Linked DNA regions of Arabidopsis thaliana. The protein of the gene in region 1 interacts with the protein of each later gene in a pairwise test. Each region holds a gene or a part of one and is shown in the gene's direction. Other genes may lie near its edges.

Region 1 (4,265 bases):
GTCGGGTTTTGGACACCGCATTTACAAAAACTACGATCCCAGAGGAAAAGTCGTTAAGAAACTGGCGGATGAAGTGTTCTCCATTCTTGGAAGGGATCCTCTGGTTGAGGTACTCTGTATTCTTGTTGCTCACGTTTCCTTGTTGAATCCTTCATATGTATGATGAATTTGGTTTAAGAAAATATTTGGTGTATAAATAATGTTTTCAGGTAGGAGATGCTCTAGAGAAGGCGGCACTTTCTGATGAATATTTTGTTAAGAGAAAGCTGTACCCAAATGTTGATTTCTACTCTGGATTAATCAATAGGTAAGACATTGATTAGTTATCTAACAAATTCTGACTAATGAGTTGTTGTAACCATTGAGTTCTTTCTTTATTTGAATCTTTTTTGTTGGTAACTGAAATGGGCCAAAACACAGGGCAATGGGAATCCCATCATCATTCACCGCAGTATCACGTATCGCTGGATACTTGTCACACTGGCGTGAGTCTTTAGATGATCCTGACACAAAGATCATGAGACCCCAACAGGTAAAATACACCTTTAATATATAAGTGACTTTGTTTAGATAACATTGGCTCATGGCTAATAAAGACACTTTTTGATAGATCAATGAGTAATTAAGTTTTCTTTTTTGCTCATGAGATTATACATTATGCATAGATACATACACTCTTGGATATATTAATGACTTGAACCTTCTTCTTTTTTTGGCTCATGAGTAATACAATTTTTAATGGATATATGCAGTTTTTGAATAGATCAAAAGTTTTTTTTGGCACAGGTCTATACTGGAGCGGGGATAAGGCATTACGAGACAGTGAGAGAAAGAACCAAGCTGTGATTCGGATTTGGATCAGTTGGGTCAAGTTTCCATTTCGAATGCATCAAGAAGGCGTTAGCTGGGTCAAGTCTCGTTCCTATACTACTAATATGAAATTTGACTCGGAAAGCCAAGCGAATATACAAATATATATAAAGAATATATATGCTTATATAAAATATAGTTTGGGTAAACCCCATCCGACCTCGAGTTAGTAATACATGTGTGTGTGTCTATGTATGTATAAGTTGTCAAAATAAAATAAAAATATTTGTGTATTATAGCATGTTTTTAAGAATATGATGTTGAACAATAATCATAAAGTGATAAAAACAGTTCAAATCTAAATTAAATATAACCGAAACAGTAAGAAGATAGTAGACAACAAATCAAGATGAGATTGGTAATTGAACATATATGCAGCAATAATGACGAAAACCAAAAGGGTCTTCTCAACAATGTGTGTTGTTTTCTTTCTCCTTATAGTTAAAACACTCAATAATCTACATACTATTGAATTTGTTTTTCATTTGTTTGTCTGTTATTTTAAAATTTATGATTTAAAACATATCTTAAGTATAGTGGTTCTATAATCAATTCCATCTAATAATTAAGTTGGTATAGGAAATTAAGACATAACTTTTGATAGATATTGTGCCTTTTGTGAGGAAAGTTCTAAAAGAAGATCTTCTTATTCTTCTTTAGTTAATATAACACATTGCTTTAGTTCTAAGATTTTTTATATATCACACATTGATTCGGAATAATTAGTTAACCACCAAATCATATCCTTTTAAAAAAATGTCATACAATATAGTGTTGAATGAGAGATTATTTTCTCCTCAACCATTTGGAAACTCTATACAACAAGATTTCATCCCTGAAACTTGGAAATGAAAAAATGTATTTGGCCGAGTTTTGTTTTTGTCCTAAGCACTAAATAAGAACGTGAGATATATAGTTCACCGCGTCTAAAGACGAAAGTGATGGGTCTCAGATTTAGGACACGAAAGTAGGCCCCACCATACGTGATGAGCTGTATACGTATTTATTTTATTTGTAAAAAATAAGCCCTTTATATTTACGGTTAATTACACAATTAGCCCATTTCTTTCTTCTCCACGATCACAGCGACGAGGTCGAATACGATCTTCTTACCCCTGTCGACAGTTCTGAATTAATATCAATTTTCATTGTCTTCCTATCTCTCTTTCTCTCTTTGGCTTCTTCCAATCTAATTTCAGTGATTTACTTGTTAAGAATTCACCTTTTGAGAGGCCCAGGTATGTCAATCCCAAATCTCACTCTTTTCTTCTCTTAGTTTGGTTTGAAACAATTGAATCTGGTGGGAAATTTAGGCGTGTATCCATATAACCTGACTGCTCAATTCTGAGTCCAATTGATTAGGTGTGTTCTGTGATCTAGATTTCATCTTCTGGGAAACGATCTATCCTAAAGTCGTAGACTTTGATTCAATTAGAAAATTCGTAGACTTTGATTCAATCTGGGAACAAAAAATGGATAATCTGATGAATCTCTGTATGGATCGTTCGAGATAATGATTGGGTGCTTGGTTCATTAGCCTAAGATTTTCCTAGTGAAACTTAAGAATCTTTGCGTGTTTGTTCAATTATAATTAGTAAACCAGAATTTACGAGATTTCCATGTTGATCTCTTTCCTCAATGATGCAAGTATTGTTTCGCATCATCGAAAAATCATCTTCTGTTGTTGGCTTCTGTCAATAGAGTAAGTCTGTTTGTGTCCTTGTTTAATCCCATCTCTTTCATTTGCTGTAGTTTTGAAATATGGCTGGCCAAAACGCGCGTTTGAATGTGGTTCCCACTGTTACTATGCTCGGGGTTATGAAAGCTCGTCTTGTTGGCGCTACAAGAGGTCATGCTCTCCTCAAGAAAAAGAGTGATGCTTTAACTGTTCAGTTTAGGGCACTTCTCAAGAAAATCGTTACAGCTAAGGAGTCTATGGGAGATATGATGAAGACATCGTCTTTTGCTCTTACCGAAGTAAAGTATGTTGCTGGTGACAATGTCAAACATGTTGTCCTCGAGAACGTTAAAGAAGCTACTTTGAAGGTTCGTTCTCGGACAGAGAATATCGCTGGAGTGAAGCTGCCTAAGTTTGATCACTTCTCTGAAGGTGAGACCAAGAATGACTTGACCGGTTTAGCTAGAGGTGGTCAACAGGTCCGAGCTTGCCGTGTTGCTTATGTGAAAGCCATTGAAGTTCTAGTTGAGCTTGCTTCTCTCCAGACTTCTTTCTTGACCCTTGATGAAGCAATCAAGACGACTAACCGTAGGGTCAACGCTCTGGAGAATGTGGTGAAACCAAAGCTGGAGAATACAATCAGTTACATCAAGGGAGAGCTTGATGAGCTTGAGAGAGAGGATTTCTTCAGGTTGAAGAAGATTCAGGGATACAAGAGGAGGGAAGTCGAACGACAGGCAGCTAATGCTAAGGAGTTTGCTGAGGAAATGGTTCTTGAAGACATCTCTATGCAGAGAGGGATTTCGATAAACGCTGCTCGTAACTTCCTTGTTGGTGGTGCTGAGAAGGATTCAGACATTATTTTCTGAGGTGTGGGCTCTCTCTCTCTCTCTCTCTCTCTCTTTGTGCCTTCTGTGTTTGCTCGGTTTCTATTTTCGCCTTCGCGCTGTTATTACTCTCTTCATCAGACTTATGTTTCTTCAAATAAAATGGATTTGATGTAGATGAAATACTGTATCATCTTGGATTGTGCTTTGATATAAAATTTTTCGAGAGATTTGTGATTATTACTGTTTTGAGTAATTATAATTCCCCTGTTTCAAGACCAAACAAATGTAGAATCTTTCTTGTGCTTTCTCGAGTAAAGTTACTTTTGGATATAATTATTGGTGGCCGGGTTAAGCATAGCAGAATGAGAAGGGAAGGAATTTTGTGAATCCATTTCAAGTTAGATCAATAAAGTGACAAAGCATTCGTGAAGCGTATGATACTTGTTCAGGAGACAAGGCATGGCATCACATACTAGGACAGATTCGTTGCTTAATTTATCAGCTTTTAGAGAATCATATAAGTGGAGAAAGAATAACTCAAAGCAAGAAAAGGAATATAAACTGCATTAATACAAAAACTTATCATATCCCTAATATGTAACAAGAAAGCCATTCCTTCTCAGCTATGAACAACAACAGAAATGGCTATTCCTCTGTTCCAAATCAACCCAATTATAGTTATGATTCGGATACACGATCGTCGGGTTGGCGAGTTCCTGCTTTCTCTTCGCGGAATGCTTGGTCTAGGAGTAATTCAGTAAATCAACTTTTCGTCTTGTCATAGATATACACCTAGGAATGTTTTAGCCTCCTTATGTTTTAATATTCTCTTTCAGATAGTTAACAGACACTTGATCGATGATCCCATATCCGCTTACTCAAGAACA
Region 2 (3,359 bases), on another chromosome or scaffold:
TTTCCACATAATAAAATCGTAATTTCGAGTTTGTTTCTTTAGATTACTTGAAGACAATATTATGCATTAACTAGAGACCCAGCGTAATTGACCTCATATCCTTCATTATGTCAACTCTATTGTTCATATATATGATAATTCAAAAGTTTATAATACTATTTAATTACAATTAGCTATTGAATCAGTTTATAATTTATAGGTTACAATAAAACTAGACGGCGTGATGGATGGGATCATGAAGAATAATTCCACCACTTGACTTTGAATTCCAAATGAGAATCAATCTTGTATATATCTCACCATCATCAAAGCGCGTACTGACATTTTTGTCCCAATATAGTTAGTATATAAGCTACACAACTTGGTAAAATAGTCAAACCAAAACACATCACTACTTCACCCTAAAGAAGACTCATTATCAAAAGTCGTCTTACTATTTTTACTATAAATATATACTCTCAAATCCCTTAGCTTAATAAGAATCACGAAAACAATAACAAACACACAAAAAGAAGAAGAAAGAAGAAGAAGATATTAGCCATCATGGCCGCAAGAAAACCGTCGGTGAGGCATCCGAGCCACAACCATCCATTGCGCAGTCACAAGGCCCAAGTTGAAGAAGAGATCATTTGCTCTGGTTGCGACCTCGACCTGATAGGTGCAGCTTTCAAATGCACAAAGTCAGAATGCGATTACTTCTTGCACAAGTCATGTTTTGAGCTTCCACGTGAGACTCGTCACAAGGCTCACCCGGATCACCCTTTGATACTGCTGTATTCCCCACCTTACGAGTCAACTTACACGTGTGATGCGTGCGGTGAGTATGGATCCGGATTCACTTACAACTGCTCTATCTGCCAGTACGATGTTCATGTTGGATGTGTGTCCATGCCTGAGTCCGTGGAGCGTGAAGGACACGCACATCCACTCACATTGCTCTACCGTTCTCCTTACCAGAACGGTTTGATCTTTAACTGTGATGTTTGCCAAGAGACTGTTCCAGATAATCTCTGGTCGTATTATTGCAAGGAATGTGATTATGGCACGCATTTACATTCTTGCGCGGTAGAGGAAGAAGAAGCAGAAGAAGAAGAGCCAAAAAGAGGAGGAGGAAGTGCAAGAGGAAACACAAAGAGTGGTGGGAATAAAGGAGGAAGGGGCTCAGCGGCATCGGAGTTAGCTGCAATGTTGGAAGCTCAAAGAGAGATGGAGAAGATGCAGATAGAGTTACATATGGAGATGCAAAGAGCTAAGATTGCTAAGAAAGCGAGAAAGGCTTGTCTCAAGTTGATCTAAAAACTTGTTTACGTTTCTATCAAGTTATCTCGGATTCTTAATGCTTTGAAACTCTTTTGTTGTTTGGACGTTCTTTTTTCATTGAATTGTTGTTGCAAGCTTTCATGTTTGTTAATTATTTTCCTTTTGAATAAAAAGCCTTTTGACTTTATTTGTTCTAATCATTACATAAAGTTGAAAATTACCACTAATCGATGATAAACATTGACCTTCAGAAACCCAAACAGAACCAAAAAAAGATTTGTATCATTATTTAATTGTTGATCCGCCGAATAGCAAAAAGTCAAAAACCACGTCAGAGATACAAAACAAACAATTAAAAAAACACTATCGCGTGAGATTCACACGCGCCGCTTCGTTGATTCGTCGTCTGTTTACCCAAACTAGTAGTATCAGATTTAAATCACACGATCACACGAAGGAATCATCATCATCATCAGAAATTCAGAATTCAGGAGCAGTAATTAAAATTGATTATTTTGATTATAAAATAACTCAAGAGAGATCACAGAGAGATATGGCGGAGGGTAAACCCGACGAGCAGCTCTTTCAGCTTCTTTCGGGTCTTCTTCAACAGGTTTCGCTTTTCTTTTTAATTCGTTAACGATCTGTTGAAATTCGTTTCCTCTTGATTTTGATTTTCGTTTCAATTACGAGCCGCTTCTATTCGTCAAATTTCCCTTTTTCTGTCTAATTCGTCAAAAAAATAAAAGGGCAAGAGCTTTTTGATATTGTTGTTAATGGACACTAATTGTTACTACAACATTGACAAATACAGATGATTTTGTTGCCTACTGATGATTTTTGTTTCTTAGGTAGAATCATTGACAAATACAGAAGAGGTTGAGCTACGTTCTAAGATTGAAGCTCTTGGTTTAGAAGTCACTAAAGTGCCATCAAAGTCTGCTCAACACCTCAATGAGGTCTGTATCCTGTGTTCACTCATATATCTGGTACACATTGTAATGTAAATCTGAGGCTTTGTGTGTGATTGTTTGTGTTTTCAGGTGGAGATAGCTAAGGAATTGGACAAGTTATCAGCAAAGTTAGATGATGTGGATGAGATGATATCATCAGCTATAGCTTCTGATCCACAGGTTCAGACGCTTCTTAGCGGCACAGCTGATGTTTGGATGCCGGTTATCACTGCCGGCGCCGAAGAGAGACTCAACTTCACAGCCTCTCTTGCTGATGATGATGACCTTTCTAACAAGGAGACTACTACCGACAATACCAGCAGCTCTTAATCCCATTTTCTTTTTGATAAACTCATGTCGAAGTTTTCTATTTTGCAGTCTTGTTTCTTTTATGTATATCAAAACCAAGATAAGCTTTAATTCATGAGTGATATTGATGTTTGATTTTTACGCAAACTGAATACAACTGTTTATTTATTATCACGAGTTTCCCGGAAATGCAAATTTGCACCAAGCATGTGTTTCTCAGGAACAATTTCTACATGAACAAATGTTTCTTCTGTCAATAGAAGGTAAAAACAAAAAAAGCTATCCAGTGTGGAAGAGAATGACTTTTGTTGAAACACGAGAGAGTGCGACAACTCAGGACTCGGTGGTGACTTAAGCAGATGAAGCTTTCTTACAATGGGCTTCAAGCCAGTCCATGGTAACACTCTTTGGCCTCTCAAGTGCAAGTCCAAGAGCTCGGTCCCATATAAGCTGTGAATTAAACACAAATGAGAATGGAGAGCATATGAGTTCTGTTTTAAATGTTATGTAGTAACAAAGGCGTAATGTGTAAATATATATATGTTACCTGAGAGCAGATGCCAAGACTCCTTGAAACACCAAAGAGCACGGTGTAGTACCTATAAAACGCACAGATATTATATTTGAGTGCTATCCTAAGGCTCAATGATACTTGAAGGAGGTGTCTACTTCTTACCTTGCTTCGGTTAGACCATAGTGGTTCAGCAAGACCCCACTGTGAGCATCAACATTTGGCCACGGGTTCTTCACCTGTAACAAGCCATCATCGGATTCGCAAGTAAATAAAAAATTGATTCGCAAGAGATTCATAAGCCCCTAGCATGTAGGTAAGGTGTT

What was found. The genes of interacting proteins can lie anywhere in the genome.
Region 2: the proteins of AT3G58730 (region 1) and AT2G44360 interact in a two-hybrid assay, tested with the Arabidopsis thaliana proteins (one large-scale study listed by BioGRID).

Annotation. Positions count from the first base shown.
Region 1 is NC_003074.8:21,717,647-21,721,911, reverse strand, and holds AT3G58730 (vacuolar ATP synthase subunit D (VATD) / V-ATPase D subunit / vacuolar proton pump D subunit (VATPD)), read left to right. Parts: upstream 1-1,858; 5' UTR 1,859-2,108; intron 2,109-2,622; 5' UTR 2,623-2,631; coding exon 2,632-3,417; 3' UTR 3,418-3,724; downstream 3,725-4,265. Other genes in the region: CSY1 (citrate synthase 1), read left to right, coding at 1-109, 210-307, 421-532, 787-846; AT3G58720 (RING/U-box superfamily protein), read left to right, coding at 4,004-4,135, 4,215-4,265. UniProt on the Arabidopsis thaliana protein: Subunit of the peripheral V1 complex of vacuolar ATPase. V-ATPase is responsible for acidifying a variety of intracellular compartments in eukaryotic cells, thus providing most of the energy required for transport processes in the vacuolar system.
Region 2 is NC_003071.7:18,320,039-18,323,397, reverse strand, and holds AT2G44360 (ecotropic viral integration site protein), read left to right. Parts: upstream 1-1,701; 5' UTR 1,702-1,813; coding exon 1,814-1,873; intron 1,874-2,111; coding exon 2,112-2,219; intron 2,220-2,303; coding exon 2,304-2,543; 3' UTR 2,544-2,666; downstream 2,667-3,359. Other genes in the region: AT2G44370 (Cysteine/Histidine-rich C1 domain family protein), read left to right, coding at 544-1,296; ATCS (Citrate synthase family protein), read right to left, coding at 2,874-2,972, 3,070-3,121, 3,199-3,272.